Linked DNA regions of Callithrix jacchus. The protein of the gene in region 3 interacts with the protein of the main gene of each other region in a biochemical or structural test. Links are inferred from orthologs where the notes say so. Each region holds a gene or a part of one and is shown on either strand. Other genes may lie near its edges. The genes, in order: ZFP36L1, ZFP36, MAPKAPK2 and HSPB1.

Region 1 (5,839 bases), on a different chromosome or scaffold from region 3:
GGACTTGTGGGGAATCAGATGGGTAGGGAGAAGAGGGTATGGGGTGTGGGTGCAGGGTAGGGGTTGGAGTAGGCAGGAGGTCCCTCCCTACCCTGGCTTAGTCATCTGAGATGGAAAGTCTGCTGAAGATGGGCAGGCGTCTTGAGTTGTCCAAGGTCGGGGAGTCTGAGCCACTGTGGCTGCTGCTGGAGCTGCTCAGGTAGCCCTCCTGGTCCGAGAGAGAATCCTGAGGGCTGGGGGGAGAGTCAAACATGTGAGGGGACTCGGACATGGGCCGGAAGAGGAAGGTGGTCGGGGAGCCACCCCCGGGGAGCCCCATGCTAGGGGCAAAGAGGCTTGCCAGCTCCTGGCTGGAGAAGGCAAAAGGGTTATTGGTGCCATCGGGCAGGGTAGGTGAGCCCAGGAGGTCATCGGCGCTCAGGATGGGGGGTGGGGTGATGGACGTGGGGCTGTCCAGCAGCCCGGTGGCAGCGGCGGTGGCAGCGGCACTGGGAAACCCAGCAAAGCTAAAGCTATGCTGGAGGCGGGGACGGTCAGCGGAGAGGTCCCGGGCCCCGGCCAGGGCACGGCGCTCTTCTGCGTTGTGGATGAAGTGGCAGCGGGGCCCATAGGGGCAAAAGCCGATGGTGTGGAAGGTGCGGCACAGCTCCGTCTTGTACTTGGGGTGGCGGGTCAGGCTGCGGAGCTCGTGGATGCCGTGTGCGAACTGACACTTGTCCCCGTACTTACAGGCACCGTTTTCCTCGAAGGGGCGGCACAGCTCCGTCTTGTAGCGGCTGGAGTTGACCTGGCCGCTCCCGGGCTGCTTCTGGGTAGGGAGCAGCCGCTCGCCCCCTTCCGAGAAGGAGCGGTCTCGGAAGCGGCTGTCCCGAGAGCTCAGAGCGGGGGCTGGCTCACTCTTGAGGCTGCTGAGGAGCTGGTTCTGGTGGAACTTGGAGCTGGGCAGGGTGACGGAGTGCCTCCGAGGGAAGCCCCCACCAGCAGGGGTGCCCACTGCCTTTCTGTCCAGCAGGCAGCCCCCTGCACTGGGTGCACTGTAGTTGAGCATCTTGTTACCCTGGAGAGAGAAGAGAAAGGATGGTAAGGATGGAAGACATCTACAGCCCTCTCCACAATCACAAACGCCGCCTGTCTCAAATAACCCATCTCCACCTTTGCTCTAGCAAGCCCCCTTCCCTCTCTCCCTCCTATAGACCATTCACCTGGGTTTATTTTGGCCCCATGCATAAGAAACCACAAAATCCAGACTGTGTGACAAGCACCCTGCTCCATGCCGACTCCTGCAGTGCAACCCCCATATCCTCTGTCCCCAAAGCTACCACTTTAATCTGTAAAGTTCAACTTCCTTACTGCCCAAATAGTTTCTCCAACTCAAAATATCTCAAACAACCCAGACCTCTCCAGATTACCCTCCCCTAACAAAACAGGTAAATCTGAGAGGAGACTGTTATAGGCTAGGTTAGGTCCCCTTCTAATCAGTCCCTGCTTAATTGATACCCCCTCCCTCAAAACCCAGCCTAAGAGGACTCAACTTCCTCCTTCCTTTGGCAACAGGTTTTCAGACTGCCTTTGCTTTTTCTTGTGGGGAGGAGCTTGGGAGCCTGGTCTGAGGTTGGGGGAGACAGGGAAGTGATTCCTGAAAATAAAACTCATTGCCCTAAGTTCCCGGAAGAGGTATTTTCCACAATGATCTCTCTCACAATTCCCACTCATGCCCAGCCCATCCCGTCCCCCTTCACTGTGAAGATGCCTTTGCAATTAGTCTTCTGGCTGCAGGAGCAGGCTTGGATAAGAGCGCCAGTGTTTAATCTTTAAGCAAAGCTGCAGATGGAAAGAAAAGGAAAGCACCAACCCCCCTACCCATCTCCCAGTCAATAGCAGATTGGGGGTGGTGGGGATGGGGGCAGAGCCACCAACGGCAGGTTTCTGGTCCAATGGGATCCTGATCACCTGCCCAAATTGTACCCAAGATTTGGAAAGGGTGCAGGTCGGGTACCTAGGAGTTAGTTCCCAGCCCATGTGGGTGTCATTTTGCAAATTCTAATGTTGGTCCTTTAGGCTCAGTGGGGGGGGGGGTGGGGATCGCGAATCTGTAACTGCAACCACCCCACCGAGAGGATTACAGGAACCCAGTCGAGAGCTGGTTCCCAACAATGAGGTTCATTTAAAACCCTCATTCATTTAAAAACCTCCCCTGAGGGGGGAGGGGGCCAAAGAAAAAAATAGATCAAAGAGCGGGAGAGTCGGGAAAAGAAGGAAGAAGTGTTGGGTAGCTCTGGCAGCCAGGCCGGCAAGTGGAGTTTGGGAATATGCAGGGAGGAAAGGAAGCTGAAAAATTCAAACTTTAAAAATGTTACTCTTCAGCTCCTCGGCGTCCCTGCACCCCAACCCTGCAGCCCTGGGGCCTTGGCAACTGCACCAACAGGAGCAGCAAGCTGGGAAAACAGAGCAACATGACCCGACGTGTTAAGAGAAGGTAAAAACACTTCAGCAATTAAAAGCAGCCCAGCAGCTTCGCCCTTTTAAATTGGGAGGAGGAGGTTGGAAAGAAATTTAACAACATCCATTGGCTTCTGCTATGTACGTTTAAACCGCAGTCCTGGAACACTCCGACTTTAGAACTTGCTTTTTCAACACTGGCTGGCAAGCAACATGTTTTAAGGAGGCCCCCATTAAATCCTTACTCCCGGGACTCTAGAGTTCAAGCCAGCATTTTGCCGCCCTCCCCTCTGCCACCCGCCACCAAAAATTGACCAGCCGCAACGACTCGGCAACACAGGTAAGCAGGTCAACTCCAATGCCTCTTTCACCCCAAAGTTTGCTGCACGATCGGCTATCGCAGGAAGAAGCCCAACGGAGCTAGGGCGGACTCCAGCACCACTGCAAACTTGTTCTGCAACATCTTTTTGAATCACAACTTGGCCTCCTTCTTCCTCGCATATCCCCAGCTCCCCCAAAAGGGGAGGAAAACGTCGTCCAGAGACTCACTTCCCCGAGGGATCTCCCACTCCCAATCCCAAGGGTCAGCAATGCTGCTGGACAGATCTAGGGCGCACACTGGGAACCCATCAGACCAACAGCACGTTACGTAAAAAAGAATCGCCCCAAACTTGCCCCAATCCCAGCCCTCCTCCCAAGGCCCCCGGGCTGCCTCGCCAAGCAAACGTCGCCCCTCAAAACTCTAGCCTCCGGATTCGCCCGTAGACCCCGCCAGAAACGGTTGAAACTCAAAAGGTGAGAAGGACGGGGCCAAATTCCTTCAAACTTGGGAGAAAAAAATCATCTCGCTGCACCACCTTCCCCACTGCCTTCCGAGACCCAAACTTTTGGGGGTTCTTTTTTGAAGCAAAAGAAAAAGTTTTTGAAAAGCAAATGCTCCGCCCCACTTTACCTTGCATAAAACTTCGCTCAAGTCGAAGATGGTGGCAGACACTAGGGTGGTGGTCATCCTGTGCGCTCGCGCGGGCCAGCGGCGAGGATCTGGTGTGTCTCGAAGGTCCCGGTGAGGGGAAGGCGCAGCCTTTCGGGTCTGGAGTCCCACACGCCAGTTCCCAGCGCCCCTCGCCTTTCTGACTCCGGAGCTGCGGCGCGCAAAGCCCGATTTATAAAGTTTCAGATTTGGTGGGCCGGGAAAGGAGGAGCTTTAAACTTATTTAAATGAGGAAGAGGAGGAAAAAGAAGTTGATTGACACTGGAGTTGAATCAGCCATGCGGTCAGGCGGGGCGGGGGAGGGGAGGAGAAGAAACTTTCAAAAGGAAGAAGGGGGAGGGGAGACAAGAAAAGAAGGCGGAAAAAAAAAACCCCACTCCGAGCCGCTCACAACCTTTTTTTTTTCTTAAAGAAGAAGTTTCGAGTCGGCTGACTTGGCTACCCAGCGCTTCAAGCGCCCCTCTCCGGGACCGCGCGGGCGCAAAGCGGGAGGGGCGCGCCCCCTCCTTTGTCAGCCTCCGAGCGCGGCTCTGACGTCACTCATTCCACTCCCTCCGGGGTTCTTGTTGTGGTGTTGTTGTTTTTTGTTGGGCAGGAAGGCGGGCTCGACTTTCTCTTTTTGCCAGCAGGAGCTGAAGCCCGTCCTTAGCGCCCGGGCCGCGGTTTACATGTTGAGCCGGTGGTCCCCTTGAAACTTCCCCAAGTGTCTGCACAACTTACCTTTTCCCGACTTCTCTTACGCACTCGGCTTCCCTCCGCAAACCCCGCAGGCCGAGTACAGTAGAAATTTGGGACGCACAGAACGTTCAAGTCTAGGGTTTTATGTTTTTTTTTCCAGCGGGGCGTAGGGTGGGGCGCGGTGCCGGGGGCGGGGGGGGGACTAGGGAAACTTTTTCCCCAGGAGGACACGGCCTGGCGGGCGCGAGCGCGGCAGTTTAGCGCGCCGCACGCGTCCACACTCGCGCTCGCTTTGCAGCCGGCGCTCTCCGGGTGTGGGCGGGTGGGGGGCGTCGCAAAAAAAGATTACAGCCCGGGCCGATTGTTTGTTTTACCAGGCCTAGGCGTGGCGTTTCTTTTCACGCATCCAATCTTTAAACTTTTGGTAAAGAAAACCCTAATCCTTCCTGAATGCCCTTTCCTCCCAGAAAAAGCCCACCAAGCAACTCACTACTTTCCACGCGCGCCCTGAAGTCTGGGCGGCGCCACAACACTCCCTCCTCCTCCATCCTCCCCACACACACCTCCAGACTCTAGAACAATGAAAAAAGTTTACTTTGATAAGAAGGAAGGTAAAAAGGTGGACGGAGGCGGCACTTTTATTGTTGCTTCTCTCGCCCCCACGGGAAAGTGGAACATATGGCTTGTCACGCTGTGCCGTTTTGGCGGGAGGTGGGGAGGCGGACATGGGAGCCAGGAAAGCTAAGGGCCCGCAATGGAGCATGACTCCCTTGAAAATGATAAAATATATATTTACTGTTATGTTTGGATGCCACCCACCCAAATATAAAGTTAACGTGTCCCCTACCCGCCCCTTGCGCCTTTGCCCGGGTGCTGGCGTGATGACCCAGGCGGAAGTCGCAGGGCCGCACTTCTTTCCGATTTCCACGCGGGCCTCGCCGCCCCCTCGGCCCTCGCACGTTTCTTCGCAGCACTCTAGGCCGCCGAGTCTGTTATGAAATCCGGTGCTGCCGAGTGGCTAAGATTGAGTTCCATTGCGATGTAATTAGGTCACCCCATTATGAACACGTTTCTTTGGAAAGGACGGGGCGGGCCGAAGAGAGCGCTCGAGTCACACTCTCACCACCCCCAACACACACACACATATATTTTTTTTTTAACTGCATTTTTTATTTATTCGTCAACCTCTGGGCAAACCCAGCGAAACCTTCCAAATCACAACTGTTTGAGAAACCGGTTGTTTTCAACTTTGCGAAACACAACTTTTGCTGCAGCCGGAACCTACGTGATCCCAGCGGGATCGGCTTTCATTTGTCTCCTCTGCCTGAAATTGATGGCCCCCACTTTAACCCGGCTGCTGCCCCTCGCCTGTTCTACTGCTGCTCTCCAGCCGCCTGTTGCTTCTCTTCCCCTGCTCCCATTTTTCAGCTTTTCTTTTCAGGCAAGCGCCAGAAAGGGAAATAACTTCTATCCACCTTAATTTCAATCATTCAAGTGTAGGTTTCTTCCTTAGAGGGATGTTTGCTCGTTCCTTTCCCAGCCCCAAGTGGGTGTTGGGGCGGGGGGCGGGGGGGGGACGATTTCGTGCAGTTTCTTGGTGATGAGGTAATGAGTTCCAGATTTTGGGACAGAGCAGGGTGCACGCTGAAACCACAAGGTTAGTCTGAGTTCTGATGTGAAACTATTTCGGTTTTTTTATTCCCCCGGCCTCCACCCATTCCCTCTCCCCCA
Region 2 (5,923 bases), on a different chromosome or scaffold from region 3:
CCCAACAGCTCTCCGACGAAGCAAGTCGACGTGGATCCTAGCAGAATCTCCCCACCTTAATACAAGCCTGCACCCTGCAAGAATGAACTTTCCACCATTATAACTGCGCACTGTGGCAATGATTCTACCCCCGCATTTTCACTCAGGGCAGCCAGTTCTCCAACACCCCTTTAAAAATAAATTATCTTCCCAGATCTTAAGGAGAGTTTTCACTTAGGGCAACCCTTTGATAAGAAACGATGCGCCAGTGTGGGAAATGAGCCTTGAAAATGTAGTCTGGGCTAGGTGCCGTGACTCATACCTGTAATCCCAGCACTTTGGGAGGCCAAGACAGGTGGATCATCTGAGGTCAAGAGTTTGAGACCAGTCTAACATGGTGAGAAACCCAGTCTCTACTAAAACTACAAAAATTAGCTGGGCATGGTAGCAGGCCACTGTAATCCCAGCTACCTAGGAGGCTGAGGCAGGAGAAGCGCTTAAACCTGGGAGGTGAAGGTTGCAGTGAACCGAGATCGCGCCATTGCACTCTCAAAAAAAAAAAAAATTGGGTCGCCCAACGCGGTGGCTCACACCTGTAATCCGAGCACTTTCAGAGGCCGAGGCGGGTGGATCACGAGGTCAAGAGATCGAGACCATCCTGGTCAACATGGTGAAACCCTGTCTCTACTAAAAATACAAAAAAATTAGCTGGGCATGGTGGCGCATGCCTGTAATCCCAGCTACTCAGGAGGCTGAGGCAGGAGAATTGCCTGAACCCAGGAGGCAGAGGTTGTGGTGAGCCAAGATCGCGCCATTGCACTCCAGCCTGGGTAACAAGAGCCAAACTCCGTCTCAAAAAAAAAAAAAAACAAAAAAACAAAACAGCTTTCAATCAATGCAACTCTCCATTATAATAAAAGACCTCCACCTTTCCAAGCTTGAGTTTTCCTAGAGGGCAAACCTCAACATAATTTCAGGCCCTGGTATGAGGCCTCTGCCATTTGGTAGCTCGAACTAGAAGAGTAACATTTTTATCCCCCTGGAAAAAAAACCCCCAGTCTCAGCTCAGTGCAACCTTCACCTCCTGGATCAAGCGATTCTCCCACCTCAGCCTGCCCCCTCCCCCTGCCCAGTAGTGGGACCACAGATGTGCACCACACCCAGCTAATTTTGTGTATGTTTTGTAGAAATCGGGATTCGCTATGTAGCCCAGGCTGGTCTCTAACTCCTGAGCCCTGGTGATCCTCCCACCTCCGACACCCACAGTGCTGGGGCTACAGGTGTGAGCCAGGCGGAAGAGTAACTTGACTATGGTTTCCTCCTGCATTAAATGGGCACATCACCTGGCTTGTTAGGGTTACTGCACATACTTAAAGCACTTAGAACAATGATCAGCCCAGAAGAACAGATTATCTGCCTGAAAGTGAAGGGCTAGAGGCGCCCTGTTAATTGGGAAAGGAGGCCCCTTTTCAGCTTCACCAGGTGTCCTGGACCCCAACCCACTCACTCACTCACCCAATCCCAGCAAGTGGTGATCGGGAGGGCGGTCCCAGCCTCCTTATCTGTCTGGGCTTTTTGGGAGTGAGACCACCCAAGGCAGGCAGTTCTTGGAGAATTCTTCTCCAAGGCCTGCTGGTTCTTTCCTGGGGCTTTGTTCTACAGATTTCTTTCTTTAAGTGCTTGTTTCTCATAGTCTTTCTCCTTTTGTGTCCAGTCTTTCCTTCCTTCTTTATTTTTCTCAATGACAACAGGTGTCATCTTTTTTTTTTTTTTTTTAATAATACATTTTATAGAGATGGGATCTCGCTGTTGCCCAAGCTGACTTCAAACTCCTGATCTCAGATAATCCACCTGCCTCACCCTCTCAAATTGCTGGGATTGGCAGAGTTTGGCGGCTCACAACTGTAATTCCAGCTGTTTGGGAGGCCGCGGTGGGAGGATCACTAGAGCTCAGGAGCCCGAGATCGGCCTGAGCAACACAGAAAGAGAGAGAGAGAGAGAGAAAGAAAGAAAAACACAAAAAGTGCTGTGATCACAGGCGTGAGCCACTCGTTCAGCCCCTTTCGGTTTGTTTCTGTGATTCTCCCAACCCTCTTCTCCCTCTGAATCTGTCTCTGGGACTTTCTCTCTCTCCCCACCTTCCCTCCCCTCCTCACCCTCTCTATCCTTCTCTGGGTCTCTGTTGATGTTTTTCTCTCTGCCTCTCTCCCTGTCTGTCTGTACCCCTCTGCGTGTCTCTCGTCGCCCCCGTTCTTCTGTGTCGCACGCACACGCCCCATCGGGCCTCTGCCCTTGTCAATTGCCCCTGGAGCCCTGCCCCCACCTCCGTCCCAGTTCCCTTCTACAAGCCTCAGTCTCCAGCTCTGAAAACTCGGCAGGCGCCCCGCCATCCGCACCCCCACCTCGACTCCCACCCCTGCCCCACGCACTCCCCGCCCGGTCGCGGCTGTCCACCGGCCAAACTCAGGCGCGTCCTGGCCCAGGGCCGGGCGGAAGGGAACCAGTCCAGGGCCAGCCAGGCTGCGCCAGGGGCGCGCGTCCGGGAAGCGCCCCTCCTGCCCCGCCCCCGGCCCCGCCCCAAGCCGTCTATAAGACTCTGGCTCTCCCTGCCAGCCTCAGCCTGACTTCAGCGCTCCCACACTTGGCCGACTTCCTCATGGCCAACCGCTACACCATGGATCTCACCGCCATCTACGAGGTGAGTCCCCGCCACTCGGCACCTGCACGCCTGACTCCCAGCTCTCTAGAGCTGCAAGCTCCGGCCCGGGACTGGAGCTTGCCTCCCTTCTCCAACTGGGGCCCCCTAGTGCGCCAGTTCGGCGCCCCTGCCTTCTACTCTCAAGACCCGCTTGGTGATTTGGAGGTGAAATGGAGCTCTGGTCTCCCGGGTCTTGGCTCAAACATGGGTGGGGCGGCCCGGGAAAGTGGAAAGTCGGAGAACTTTTCTCACACCGAGGCTGCCTGGAGGCGGAAGTGGCCCCCATACCTGGCTCATCCCTAGTGGTTGCTGAGGGCGTGGTTTTGCGCGGAGGCGTGTCTGGGGCTGAAGTCTTAGGGTGGGGGGATCCGACTTACGTCTCTCCAGTCCCTGACCGTAGTTCTCTGAAAACCCTAAAACCAAAGCGATCCGGACTCCTGGGTCAACTTTGCCCGGTTCCTCCAGTTGTGAAACTGGAGATCCCGACGTGTGGGTCATATCCGGGGAGGTCCAGAGACTCAAAATTGGGAAACAGGGGTGCGCTCTGACTTCGGGGACCCCTCTTGGTCCAGCCGGTGAAACAGGAATTCCTGGGTCCCTCGGGATAATGCCTCGGTCGGGGGTAAACTCGGAATCTCCAAATCTGGGTTCCTGGCATCTGGAACCTGGGAGTTTCTGCGAGCGGGTGGGGCTCAGGCCGGGAGCCCACAAACCGGCCTGGCAAGCTCTTGATCCCTGCAGCTGGGGTGGGGCGTCGCCCTGCATATTCGGGTGCCTTAACCGACCCATTTCCGCAGAGCCTCCTGTCGCTGAACGCTGATGCGCCCGTGCCATCTGACCACGGAGAGACTGAGTCCAGCCCAGGCTGGGGCTCCTCGGGACTCTGGAGCCTGAGCCCCTCTGACTCCAGCCCGTCTGGGGTCATCTCTCGCCTGCCTGGCCGCTCCACCAGCCTGGTGGAGGGCCGCAGCTTTGGCTGGGTGCCCCCACCCCCTGGCTTCGCACCGCTGGCTCCCCACCTGGGCCCCGAGCTGTCACCCTCACCCACCTCGCCCACAGCCACCCCCACCACCTCCTCCCGCTACAAGACTGAGCTGTGTCGGACCTTCTCAGAGAGTGGGCGCTGCCGCTATGGGGCCAAATGCCAGTTTGCCCATGGCCTGGGCGAGCTGCGCCAAGCCAATCGCCACCCCAAGTACAAGACGGAACTCTGCCACAAGTTCTACCTCCAGGGCCGCTGCCCCTACGGCTCTCGCTGCCACTTCATCCACAACCCCAGCGAAGACCTGGCAGCCCCGGGCCACCCTCCTGTGCTTCGCCAGAGCATCAGTTTCTCTGGCCTGCCCTCCGGCCGCCGGACCTCACCACCACCGCCAGGCCTGGCTGGCCCTTCCCTGTCCTGCTCCTTCTCGCCCTCCAGCTCCCCGCCACCACCTGGGGACCTTCCACTGTCACCCTCTGCCTTCTCTGCTGCCCCTGGTACCCCTGTGGCTCGAAGAGACCCCACCCCGGTCTGTTGCCCCTCCTGCCGAAGGGCCACCCCTATGAGCGTCTGGGGGGGGGCCTTGGGTGGCCTGGTTCGAAGCCCCTCTGTACAATCCCTGGGATCTGACCCTGATGAATACGCCAGCAGCGGCAGCAGCTTGGGGGGCTCTGACTCTCCAGTCTTCGAGGCGGGGATTTTTGCACCACCCCAGCCCACGGCAGCCCCCCGGCGACTCCCCATTTTCAATCGCATCTCTGTTTCTGAATGACAAGTGACTCTGCCCCGCCAGATCAGTTGGATCTCACGGGGGAAGCCACATCTCTTGCACTGTGGTCTTTGCATGGACCCAGGGCTGTGGAGACTTGGGGGACAGTAATCAAGTAACCCCCTTTTCCAGAATGCATTAACCCACTCCCCTGACCTCAAGCTGGGGCAGGTCCCCAAGTGTGCAAGCTCAGTATTCATAGTGGGGGATGGAGTGTCTTCTGAGGTTCTTAAAAAAAAATGTAGCATATTTAAGGGAGGCAATGAACCCTCTCCCCACCTCTTCCCTGCGCAAATCTGTCTCCTGGAATCTTACGTGCTGTGAATAATAGGCCTTCTCTGCCCCTCCAGTTTTTAGAGATCTGAGGTTCCAGAGTCTCCTGGTAACTGGAACCTCCCCTGAGGGGGATCCTGGTGCTCAAATTACCCTCCAAAAGCAAGTAGCCAAAGCTGATGCCAAACCCTACCCATGAATCAGTGGGTCTTTATTTATGACGACTTTATTTATTCTAATATGATTTTATAGTATTTATATATATTGGGTCGTCTGCTTCCCTCGTATTTTTCTTCCTCTTTTTTTGTAATATTGGAAACGACGGTATAATTATTATAAGTAGACTATAATATATTTAGTAATATATATTGTTACCTTAAAAGTCTATTTTTGTGTTTTTGAAAATTTTTAAATAAACGGAATCTGCGTGTAAGCTGGGATCCTCGCTTCTTCGCGGTCTAGAGACAAGAATGGGGAGGGAAGGGGTTGACTTTTTGGAACCAGTCAGCTCTGCTCCTCCCAGCCCCGCGGCGCTTACCTGGCAGGAAGTGACGTCACCAGGCCTGGCCGTTCACCTGAAAGGGTGTGACCAGGTGAGGTCACCAGATGAGAACTGGGGGAGCCAGTTCCCGGGCGTCGGGGCACCGCGCTCCGGTCTTGCCGAACTCCTTGACCCAGCTCTCCGGCGGGCGCGCGCGAGCGGGTACGGGATGTTTCCGTCCCCACCGGGCCGCGGGAGGCGGGAGGGGCCGGGTGGAGAGGACGGAATGTGCTGGGGCGCGCGCCCAGGGCGAGCGGGGGCGGGCGCGGGGCGGGGCAGCCTGGGGTAACGGAACCCGTTTCGGGACTCGGGGTTCCTGGGGGGCTTCGACGCCTTTGGGATGTTGGGAGGAAGCGGGTTTTAGGGTCTCAAGAGTCTAGGATCTCTACATTTAGGAGTCTCAGGTTGAGTCCCCTGGCGCTTTAGACTCTGGAACCCTGGTGGCTCGGAGTTGCGGGTTTCTGGCCACCCGGGACCCTGGAGCCCAGGAATTACCAGATCTTGGTATTTCCGAACCTTGGAGGCCCGAGGCCTCGGACACCCACCGTGGTTGGCCCCGCGAGGCCAGGGTGTGTGGGTAATAGGGGCCGCGTGTCTAGGAGGGGCCCCGGAGGAACCGCGTCTCCGGACCATACAAGGCCAGCGACGTCGGGACCAGCCCCGGGGCCCAGCGCCCCGCGC
Region 3 (5,819 bases):
CCCCTGTCCAAATGGAATGCCAACATCTGCCTCTTCCTCTTGACCTGGAGAGGTACAGCCTGCCCTGACTCCCAGCCCCACCCAGTCCCCTTTCCAGCACACTCACAGGATGTACATGATGACACCCAGGGACCACATGTCACAGGACTTGTCATACTTCTCTGGGCCCAGCACTTCTGGAGCTGTAAACCAAAGGTCAACATGGGTGGGCCCGGCTCTCAGAACCCTGCAATCCACTCAGTTTCTCTGTGAAAGATGCTCCCCCTCCCAGCCTTTCAGCCTGTCATGAGGTGGCAGCAGCTGGGCGCAGGAGGAAGAGCCGAAGCACAGCCCCAGGACTGGAACAGATGCCCCCCTCCACGAGGAACCCTGGAACTAGGATCTTAAGATTGTAAAAATCCTGGACTGCTTTTAGTCTCATGCCATCCATTTAATTTGACAGACACTCTGAACATGCTTTGAAAGCTTCCTCTATGCCAGTGAGCCCAGAACAAGACCTGGGTCCCAGACGCCACTGAGAATCTGATGGAAACCATGGCTCTTCTCAAAAAGCTCCTGGCAGAGCCTTCTCTACACTTCCTCCACTGTAGTTTTGCTCTAACAAGCCCTGCTTCTCAGCAGGTCCCAGCAGAACCAGCACCAGAAGGGGCCATACAGACATAACTCTCCTAGGCTCTGCGGCCCCCGACACAGCCAAAAGGAGGGGGCTGAGAAAAGTTCTGGGAAAAGCCTAGGTCCCTGGGCCTCCTGTGGACTTACCCACATAGTATGGCGTATAACAAGGAGTGGTCAAAGAGTTGTGGCTGGTGGTTTCCTTGGCAAAGCCAAAGTCTGTGAGTTTCAGGATGGCGTTGGGCCTTTTGGAGGTGTATAAGAGATTCTCAGGCTACAGAGAGAGACAGAAAAATAGCAACCCTGTTGGACCTGGGAGGGGCTGTCAGAAACCAAATGGGTCCTGGTTCCTTCCTTCCTCTGCTCATCCAGCAACCATTTTCCTATCCAGGGCACTGTCCACCACAAGGAGCGGCAGCTCTCTATGGGCAGGTGTCTGCGTCCGCAGGGTTACCAGACTGCCTGGAGATGAGAGACTGACACACAGAACCCGCAGTAAACACCACAGGGACGGAGAAACCAAGAGTGTGTCTATGAGATTCTGCCTGAGGAGAACCACAGGGCTGAATGTGGCCAGAGAATGTTTCACTACTGGGCTTATGGGTTTGCCCATGGGCAGATAGGGCAGAGAATGGCATGCTCAGGAACCAGGCAGCAAGGATGCAGGGTGGCCTGGCAACCATCCCCAGGGTGGCACAGGCCCCCTGCTGACCCCACAGTACTCGGGCTCAGGGCTGTGAACAGCTGGCACCTTGACATCCCGATGGGCAATGTTGATTGAGTGCAGATACTGGATGGCCTCACCAATGCTCTTCATGATTTCGGATGCTTCTGTAGAGGGGAGGGAAGGGGGAGTGAAAAGAAAGTCACGAAGACACATCATTAGACTTGAAAGCCCAGTCAGTCCCACCTCTGTGCAGCCTGAGGCTCCCCACAGCCACCACCCACCCCAGAAACAAAGCCACCAGGAGCTGCCCTGGTCAGTTGAGGCACTCCTTGCAGCATGCTGGATGGGGTAAAGGCCCCTTCAGACCTCCACTGCCCTGCCTGCCTGCACCTGTTCCCACAGCAGATCATTTCTACCTCTTTCTGTGAACGCCTGATCTCCTCGGTCCTGGATTCGGCTAAAGAGTTCTCCACCGTCCAAACTGAAACAAAGCCACAGTGAGATCGGAGAACACCGCATCCTGCCGCCACTCTCCACTGCCCCCAAAAGAAATCAAGTGCTGACATTCCAGGCTTCAGGCCCATGCCTGGGCTGTCCTCAGAGGGCAAGGCACCTGGGTGGGGAGTGGGGACAAGCTGGGCAGGGACCAGAACAGTGGCTGCTTACCATTCCATGACAATCAGCAGGCACTTCCTCCCTGCGTACAGATTCTCATAGACATCCACGATCCGCACGATGTGCGGGCACTGGGAGGCCCGCCAGTGCAGCTCCACCTCCCTGCGGGCCTTGGGGCAGTCCTGAAGCATCTGCAGGCCAAACAACTTCCTGAGGAACTGCACTCTCACGTGGGCCTACTCTAAGCCCCCGGCCCACATGCCCTGGCATCACCACCAACACACCAGAAAGCCCCCACTCCCGCTGGCCCCTCCCTTCCAGCCCCCGGCACATTTCCTGAGGCCTCTGCAGTTCCTTATCTGCTCTCTATGAAATCTCACCATGACCCTCTTGGGGCCTTGACAACTACACTGAGATCAGCCCTTGGACCATTTAGTCCAGCTTAGGCCATGATGTCTACTCTAGAAGGCAAGCAGCAGTCAGGTACTGGGAAGCAGGGGGTGAAAGGGTTAGGGGGAGAAAGGCAGACTGAGAAAAACCAAGACGGCATTGGAAAGGGGGCTAGAGAGAGGAGAGACTTCAAAGTCCATAGGAAAAGGTACCTCCGCAATTACTCAGACCCAGCACACCAAATCCAGAGCGATGGTCTCTCTACCTCTGTGGCTGACTTCAACCCAGCAACAGATGGCCTTGGAAGTCAGCCAGACACTGGTTTGAATCCATTTAATTTGACAGACACTCTGAACATGCTTTGAAAGCTTCTTCTATGCCAGTGAGCCCAGAACAAGACCTGGGTCCCATCCATTTAATTAAATGGATCCAGTTATTACTGGATCAGCAAGCTTGAGCAAGTAACAACTCGCTGAGCCTCACTGATGCCCCTTCTTCTCCCTGGACCAGTTGGCTGGGGGTGTTAAAGGAGGCTGGCTCCTCACCAGCCTCAGGAGTTCAATCTTGACTTGTCTAAGCCAGTCTCATTAATTCCAATCCCTTTGCTAGTGACTCGCTCAGGAGCAAGCCTACAACTCAACTGACCAAGATCTTTGTAATAATCTGCTAAGAGGCTTCTTAAAGGGAGCACAAGAAACCTATATCATCTCTCCTGTTTACGGCACCTGGGGCCATGACAAGCACATCATGACCAGTAAGGGGGGCCTAAGAGGATAAACCAGTGTACTGAGGAAGGCCACCAGGAGAGATGGCAACCACCTGGATCCTTGCTGACATCACCAAGGATACCTCATGACTTCTTTCTGACAAGATAATAAATTTTTCTTACTGTTTAAGCTGCTTTTCATGAAAATTTTTATTGCTTGGGGCCAAAAGCATCCTGATCTACCCTTCCTTTGTAAAGTGGGGATAATGGCTTCTGTTTCACAGATTTGTTATAAGGATTAAATGAATATTTCCACAAAACACCTCACAGAGTGCCTGACGTGTGCTTACTAACAGCTGTCATTTTTATCACCGATTGTCTGCTAAGTGCAAGCACAGGTGCCAAAATAATTAAGACAAGGACACTCACAGATCTAGCATCTTCATAGGAAGTCAAGATGCAGTCCACACTCCAGCTGCTTTGGACAAGCAGAGGGCTAGGGTGTCCAGGAGACAGGCTAGGAAGAAAATGGACAGGCAGAGGGAAGGCATCCAGGCGGGAAGAAACGTGGGAAGCAGGTGCTGACTGACTGAGATGGAGTGGAGCTGTGATGATACAACAGGGAGGGGGAGAACCTGCCACAAAGTGTCTGAAGCTTGCAGATAAGATCAGATGGCCAAGATGGAGATGGCAGATGGCAGGGAAGGGCAAACAAGCATTTCCAAGAGTAAGGCTGGCATACATTTATGCTATGGCCCATGATGTGCTGGGCTTTTCCTAACTGTACAACATTTGACATTTTACAGGATGAGGAAGCTAAAGCTCGGGAAAGTAGCATGCCCAAGGCTACATTTCTGAGAAAAGGCAGAGCCAAGGCTGGAATCCAGGCCTGGTACACTCCAAAGACCAAGTCTTTCCACCATACCACCCAGCTTTTAGAGGAGGCTGGAAACCAAGACTTCTCAGACTGACTTTGCAGAGGCCATTCCCCATCAGGTGTCTAGAGGGAATCAAGCACAAGATAACTGGGTCTCTCCCATGGAGTCATGGTTGGCTGGAGCCAATAGTTGCAGGAGTCAAGATTCCTATGAGGTCACACTGCCACCTTGTGGCCATCTGAGGACACCGCATGGGTCTTGAGTTCTGCTACTTTCAACTTCATTTGGGCTTTTTAAAATTTTTGAAACAGGATCTCGCTCTGTTGCCCAGGCTGTAGTGCAGTGGCACAATCTTGGCTCACTGCAACCTCCCCATCCCAGGTTCAAGCAATTCTCCCACCTCAGCCTCCTGAGTAGCTGGGATTACAGGTGTGAGCCACCATGTCTGGCTAATTTTTTGGTACTTTTAGCAGACAGGGTTTCACCATGTTGGCCAGGCTGGCCTCAAACTTCTGGTCTCAAGTGATACCCCGCCTTGGCCTTCCAAAGTGCTGGAATTAGAGGCGTGAGCCACTTCACCCATTCTTCAACTTCATATATTTGGATGTACCAGGAAAAAAGTTTACTTTCACATGCTCTAAGAGGAGCAGGAGAAGGCACTGGCCAATTTCCTTTGTATATAATTCAATCCAACAAGCATTTTCTGAGTTCCTATTATGGGTCATACATTGATTGCACTGAATGTCAAAACCAAATAGTGGAATCCTGATCTGGAAGAGCCTAGGTTAGTGGGGGGTCAGAAAATGTGAGGGGAGACACAGAAAATCCTGTGAGATTACATGCTGTAAGAGTGCTAAATTCCCAAGGGTTCAGGAACAAGGTTTCCAGAGCAGCTAAGCAGACACAACCTCTATCACCCCCTACAGGCACACAGGAACTGGAGCTCAGAGAAGAATCAAGTCGTCAAATTTACTCAGAGGCAATGCGTGGTTGTAGAGTTACAGCTGGGGAAGACTTGGCCAGGTCTGAAATTTGTCAATTTCTTCTTGCACAGCCTCACAGAGGTCTACCTTTCAGAGCCTGTGCCACAGGCATTTAGGAGTGATATCTGCCTAGCCTCCACTCACAGAAACATCATGAGCATTTAATGAAATAATATCTCTAAAAATGCATTGTTATCAGAAAGGCATTCATCACTGTCAACCAGTACCATTAGTGCCACGATAGAGGGAGGTCCCTCTGTCACCACTGAGTTGAGCCTGGAGCATGTGGATGTAACCAGTACGAGTTACAAGCAAGAGTGTAAGCTGGGTTTCTGTCTTCAGCCCAGTGACCACCACCAGGACATCTGCCAACCAGAGCTGTGCTAAGTGGGATGCACCAAGGTCCAAACCCAAATGCGTGCTCCCGGACACCCCCTGAACTCCCAGAGCCCACTGCAAGTTCCATGCTTTCTGCCCTAGACACGTTAAGAGTGCATGGCACAAGGCAAAGGAGTCTCTGCAGCAAGAAGGGCTGGGTCCACATTGCACTTCCAGACTTGCACAAAATCTCTTCCCATTAGAGGAGACAGACAGATGCAGCACAGTGAACCTGGGCTTTGGAATCATATGCATTTTGAATCCCGGTTCTGCACTTCCTAGCTTGTGTCAGGCAAGGTCATCTATCTTCCTGAAAAGTGTCTCCTCATCTATAAAATTGGATTCAACTTCATAAAACGATATCCTTGAAGATGCTTCAAAAACTCTCTATAGGGTACTTTTCACTTTCAAAAAAAATTACCATTTTGCATATTTATGCCTTATCTCCCCAACCTAACTGCATTTCCAGTGGGCAAGATCTAATTTGATTTCTGTTTACTCCCTCCCCTCTTCCTTCCCTCACTTAGTGGTTAGGAATTACTGAGCCAACACCCCCTCATTCTGTTGCATCTTCTCCCTACTAAACTCTC
Region 4 (5,138 bases), on a different chromosome or scaffold from region 3:
CAACATGGTGAAACCCTGTCTTTACTAAAAGTACAAAAATTAGGTGGTGTCGTGGCACATGTCTGTAGTCTGAGCTACTCGGGAGGCTGAGGCAGGAGAATCGCTTGAACCCAGGAGGCAGAGGTTGCAGTGAGCCGAGATTGGGCCACTGCACTCCAGCCTGGGTGACAGAGGGAGACTCCATCTCAAAAAAATTACAAATAAACATAGAAGACGTACAGTAAGAACACAGTGGTAGGGCGTAGTGGCTCATGCCTGTAATCCCAGGACTTTGGGAGGCTGAGGCAGGTGGATCACCTCAGGTCAGAAGTTCGAGACCAATTTGACCAACATGGAGAAAACCCATCTCTACTAAAAACACAAAATTAGCCAGGCATGGTGGCTCATGCCTGTAATCCCAGCTACTCAGGAGGCTGAGGCAGGAGAATCATTTGAACCCTTGAGGCAGAGGTTGCGGTGAGCTGAGATCCTGCTTATGCATTCCAGACTGGGTATGCAAAAGAGCAAAACTCCATCTCAAATTTAAAAAATATAAATCAACAAAACCACAGTAATATAATTTTTTGTTTTGTTTTTTGAAACAGGGTGGGCCAGGTGTGGTGGCTCATGCCTGTAATCCAAGCACTTTGGAGGCCAAGGCGGGCGGATCACCTGAGGTCGGGAGATCAAGACCAGCCTGATCAACATGGTGAAACCCCCTCTTAAGAAAAAAAAAAAGGAAAAGAAACAGGGTCTTGTTCTGTTATGCAGACTGGAGTGCAGTGGCACAATCAGGCTCACTGCAGCCTCCTGGGCTCAAATGATCCTCCCACCTCAGCCTTCTGAGTAGCTGGAACTACAGATGCACGCCACCATCCCCAGCTAATTTGTTTTGAATTTTAGTAGAAATGGGGTCTCACTGTGTTGCCCAGGCTGGTCACAAATTCCTTGCTTCAAGTAATCCTCCCACCTTAACCTCCCAAAGCCCACACACCTTGCAACCACACAGATTGTCAGATTCCTTTTTTTTTTTTTTTTTTTTTTGAGATGGAGTTTCGCTCTTGTTACCCAGACTGGAGTGCAATGGCACGATCTCGGCTCACTGCAACCTCCGCCTCCTGGGTTCAAGCAATTCTCCTGCCTCAGCCTCCCGAGTAGCTGGGACTACAGGCACGCACCACCATGCCCAGCTAATATTTGTATTTTTAGTAGGGACGGGGTTTCACCTTGTTGACCAGGATGGTCTCGATCTCTTGACCTCGTGATCCACCCGCCTCGGCCTCCCAAAGTGCTGGGATTATAGGCGTGAGCCACCACGCCCAGCCATCCAGCTAATTTTTAAACATTTTTTGGTAGAGGTGAGGTCTCACCATGTTGCCCAGAATGGTCTCAAACTCCCGGCCTCAAGGGATCCATCCTTCCTGCCTTGGCCTCCCAAAGTGCCGATTACAGGCATGAGCCATGCACCCAGCCCCTTTTTATTTTTTTGAGACAGGGCCTTGCTCTGTTGCCTAGGCTGGAGTGCGGCGGTGAGAACATAGCTCACTACAGCCTCGAACTCCTGGACTCAAGCACCAGACTGCTTTACATCACATTCCACACACAGCCTTGTGGTTCCAACCCTGCCTCTGCCACTTCCCAGCTGTTTGCCCCAGCCCAACCTGTCTGGCGCTGTCCTGCTTAACAAAAGGACTGGCCTGGCCGCCGGCCACACCCGCCAGCGCTGAAGCACCAGGGCCTCCGAGTGCCCTAGTGTGGCACGTCTCCAGCGTCGCACTCTCGAACTCATTTGTTTTCCTTAACGAGAGAAGGTTCCAGATTGGGGCAGAACCCTCTTCGCCCCGCCCACGGCCCCCTGAACTCTGCGGATGGGGGGGAGGGGTGCATGGGGAGAGGCGGTCCCAAACGGGTCATTTCCATTAATAGAGACCTCAAACACCGCCTGCTAAAAATACCCAACCGGAGGCACATAAAAGCGCGACCCAGCACCGCGGCCCGCACTTCTCCGAGCAGACGTCCCGGGCAGAGCCAGCCAGCATGACCGAGCGCCGCGTCCCCTTCTCGCTCCTGCGGAGCCCCAGCTGGGACCCCTTCCGCGACTGGTACCCGCACAACCGTCTCTTCGACCAGGCATTCGGGATGCCCCGGCTGCCCGAGGAGTGGTCGCAGTGGTTCGGCACCAGCAGCTGGCCGGGCTACGTGCGCCCCCTGCCCCCCGCCGCGGTCGAGGGCCCCGCAGTGGCCGCGCCCGCCTACAGCCGCGCGCTCAGCCGGCAGCTCAGCAGCGGGGTCTCGGAGATCCGGCACACGGCGGACCGCTGGCGCGTGTCCCTGGACGTCAACCACTTCGCCCCCGAGGAGCTGACGGTCAAGACCAAGGATGGCGTGGTGGAGATCACCGGTGAGCACCCCCTGGCCCTGCAGGGGAGGGGAGGAGGCTAGCGGGGAGGGCGGGGCCCGGGGGTGCGGTTGAAACCCCGGGCCTGGGGAGTTAAAAGTTAGCCCAGCACCGGGAAAAACGGGATCCGTCCGTGATTCCCCTGCTCAGGAATCGGGAGTGCAGGTCGCTTCTAAGGTCGCTTTCTGCTCTGTTATCTCAGCGCCTTGGGAGGCGGAGGCCAGGAGTTCAAGACTAGCCTGGGCAATATAGCGAGACCTCCCCCCCTACCAACTACAAGAAAATTAAAAAGCAACCAAAAATGTTTTAAAAGATCATCGGTGAAGAAATGCTTCTTTCCACGGAACTCTCTCCCCACCCGCAGCCCCATCCGCAGATAAGCGGGTCCCCTGGCGTGGTCCCTGTCCCTAGCCGCGCGAGGGGCGTGCGTGCTCCTCCCAGTGCGCCTGCGCGTTGCTCCCTCCGCCCCTCGGCACCCTGCTCCGTTCCTCCCAAAACTCTTACTCGAACTTTCCGGAAGTTTCTGAGAGCCCGGACAGGCCGGCACGCCCCCACCCCCAGTCTCCTCTGTTAATCCCTGCCAGCCTGCAGTCCTGGCTGCCTCCAAGCTGGAGGTGGGGCCTCTGGCCTGGCGGGGCCGAGAGTCGGTCCCCTTTCCCTCATTCTGATTTTCCTGTCCCCCGAAGGCAAGCACGAGGAGCGGCAGGATGAGCACGGATTCATCTCCCGCTGCTTCACCCGGAAATACTCGTGAGTCCTGCCGCCAGGTCGGGGTGGGTGGGTGCCGGGGGCTAGGGAGGAGGGCACAGGGACCCACCCGAAGTGTAATGTAACGTTCACATTCCCTCTCTGCACGTCCAGGCTGCCCCCTGGTGTGGACCCCACCCAGGTCTCCTCCTCCCTGTCCCCTGAGGGCACACTGACCGTTGAGGCCCCCATGCCCAAGCCAGCCACACAGTCCAACGAGATCACCATCCCTGTCACCTTCGAGTCGCGGGCCCAGCTTGGGGGCCCAGAAGCTGCGAAATCTGACCAGTCTGCAGCCAAGTAAAAGCCTTAGCCCGGATGCCCACCCGTGCCGCCGCCACTGGCCATGCCTCCCCCCCCACCTGTGTGTTCTTTTGATACGTTTATTTGTTTTTCTCAAATAAAGTTTGAAGCAACCCACCTGTCACTGGCTCAGACCCTGGTGTTTGTGGAAGGAAGCTTCGGGCACCTGCCATTCCCTGGCTTACACTAGCCACCTTTGCTCAGGGTGTGCTGGGTGCACAGCCCCGTGCTGGGCCATGTGGGTACTCCCGTGTAGGTTGCTAGGCACAGGCTAATTCACATCCATAAAGACAGAGAGGTCCTATTGCCCGGCATTGTGGCTCAGACCTGCAATACCAGCACTTTGGTAAGTTGAGGCAGGAGGATTGCTTGAAGCTGAGAGTTCAAGACCAGCCTGGACAACACAGTGAGACCCTATCTCTTAAAAATAAAAAGCCAGTTGCAGTGGCTCATGCCTGTAATCCCAGCACTTTGGGAGGCTGAGGGGAGCAGGTCATGAGGTCAGGAGTTCGAGACCAGCCTGACCAACATGCTGAAACCCCATCTCTACCAAAAATACAAAAATTAGCCAGGCGTAGTAGCATATGCCTGTAATGTCAGCTACTCAGGAGGCTAAGACAGGAGAATCACTTGAACCTGGGAGGCAGAGGTTGTGGTGAGCCGAGATTGTGCCACTGCACTCCAGCCTGGGTGACAGAGCAAGACTGTCTCAAAAAAAAAAAATAATAAAATAACAGAAATAAAAATTAGCCAGGGGTGTTATTGCACACCTGTAGTCCCAGCTACTCAGGAGACTGAGGCTGGAAGATTGCTTGAGCCCAGGAGTTGAAGCGTGCAGTGAGCTAAGATTGTGCCTTTGCATTCCAGCCTGGGCAACAGAGCAAGATCGTCTCAATAAATAACTAAAAACTCAGAAAGAGTGAGACCTTGTCTTTAAAAGAAAAAAAAAAAAGGTCGTGATTGCAAGGTCATGGTTGCAATTAAAACTGTAAGGTGTGGAAGCGGAGGAAATGGGAAGCACCTGAGGCTTGAGTTTTCACGGTCGGCGAGGCTGGGGCCCAGGTGAAGGGGCACGGGGGTAATTGCACCTCCCCGCAGAGATTACTGCGTCAGAAGCTTGGCTTCGGCTTCGGCGCACCCAAGGGCACCACAGTGGACCTGGTAAGCTTTGAGGTCGTCACTGCCACACCCCCTGAGGCCAGGGCATCCCTGTTGGCAGTCACAAGGGAACTGGCAGGCAGAACTGGGGTGAGAACGGAGCCCGCAGTCTCTGGGTGGGGAGATTGGGTAGCACCCTGGCCGACGCGCTCAGACCTGTGCTGCTGGCTCTGCCAGCGATTCTTGTTGCCTGTGTTTATTTTCAGTTGGCCTCCCTCCCGGTGTAGCCAGGCCTCCATGGGCCCAGTTCCTCTGTTGTCTGCCCTTGCCCTAGCTGCCACCCTCTAACCAGGCCCAGGGAAAGCTGTGGAGGTACATAGCAGATGGGGGTGCCAGGCGTAGTGGCTCATGCCTGTAATCCCAGCACTTGGGGAGGCCAAGGCAGGTGGATCACCTGAGGTCAGGAGTTCGAGAGCAGCCTGGCCAACATGCTGAAACCCTGTCTCTACTAAAAATACAAAAATTAGCCAAGCGAGGTGGTGCACGCCTGTAATCCCAGCTACTCGGGAGGCTGAGGCAGGAGAATCAATTGAACCTGGGAGGCGGAGGTTGC

Evidence for each region.
Region 1: of the proteins of MAPKAPK2 (region 3) and ZFP36L1, one has a biochemical effect on the other in vitro, tested with the Homo sapiens proteins (2 studies listed by BioGRID). The link is inferred for Callithrix jacchus from reciprocal best matches to the Homo sapiens genes MAPKAPK2 and ZFP36L1.
Region 2: of the proteins of MAPKAPK2 (region 3) and ZFP36, one has a biochemical effect on the other in vitro, tested with the Homo sapiens proteins (2 studies listed by BioGRID). The link is inferred for Callithrix jacchus from reciprocal best matches to the Homo sapiens genes MAPKAPK2 and ZFP36.
Region 4: of the proteins of MAPKAPK2 (region 3) and HSPB1, one has a biochemical effect on the other in vitro, tested with the Homo sapiens proteins (17 studies listed by BioGRID and IntAct, with this or other methods). The link is inferred for Callithrix jacchus from reciprocal best matches to the Homo sapiens genes MAPKAPK2 and HSPB1.

What each region holds. Positions count from the first base shown.
Region 1 is NC_133509.1:103,772,948-103,778,786, forward strand, and holds the start of ZFP36L1 (mRNA decay activator protein ZFP36L1), read right to left. Parts: upstream 3,572-5,839; 5' UTR 3,449-3,571; coding exon 3,392-3,448; intron 3,235-3,391; exon of another isoform or gene 2,246-3,234; intron 1,547-2,245; exon of another isoform or gene 1,203-1,546; intron 1,058-1,202; coding exon 98-1,057; 3' UTR 1-97. UniProt on the Homo sapiens protein: Zinc-finger RNA-binding protein that destabilizes several cytoplasmic AU-rich element (ARE)-containing mRNA transcripts by promoting their poly(A) tail removal or deadenylation, and hence provide a mechanism for attenuating protein synthesis.
Region 2 is NC_133523.1:34,891,363-34,897,285, forward strand, and holds ZFP36 (mRNA decay activator protein ZFP36), read left to right. Parts: upstream 1-2,596; 5' UTR 2,597-2,635; coding exon 2,636-2,677; intron 2,678-3,474; coding exon 3,475-4,431; 3' UTR 4,432-5,134; downstream 5,135-5,923. Other genes in the region: uncharacterized protein LOC144580767, read right to left, coding at 5,240-5,609. UniProt on the Homo sapiens protein: Zinc-finger RNA-binding protein that destabilizes several cytoplasmic AU-rich element (ARE)-containing mRNA transcripts by promoting their poly(A) tail removal or deadenylation, and hence provide a mechanism for attenuating protein synthesis.
Region 3 is NC_133520.1:34,222,671-34,228,489, reverse strand, and holds the start of MAPKAPK2 (MAP kinase-activated protein kinase 2), read right to left. Parts: upstream 3,821-5,819; 5' UTR 3,735-3,820; coding exon 3,420-3,734; intron 2,086-3,419; coding exon 1,946-2,085; intron 1,761-1,945; coding exon 1,696-1,760; intron 1,444-1,695; coding exon 1,364-1,443; intron 887-1,363; coding exon 760-886; intron 183-759; coding exon 107-182; intron 1-106. UniProt on the Homo sapiens protein: Stress-activated serine/threonine-protein kinase involved in cytokine production, endocytosis, reorganization of the cytoskeleton, cell migration, cell cycle control, chromatin remodeling, DNA damage response and transcriptional regulation.
Region 4 is NC_133503.1:11,063,616-11,068,753, forward strand, and holds HSPB1 (heat shock protein beta-1), read left to right. Parts: upstream 1-1,976; 5' UTR 1,977-2,016; coding exon 2,017-2,380; exon of another isoform or gene 2,381-2,821; intron 2,822-3,063; coding exon 3,064-3,127; intron 3,128-3,238; coding exon 3,239-3,428; 3' UTR 3,429-3,548; downstream 3,549-5,138. UniProt on the Homo sapiens protein: Small heat shock protein which functions as a molecular chaperone probably maintaining denatured proteins in a folding-competent state. Plays a role in stress resistance and actin organization.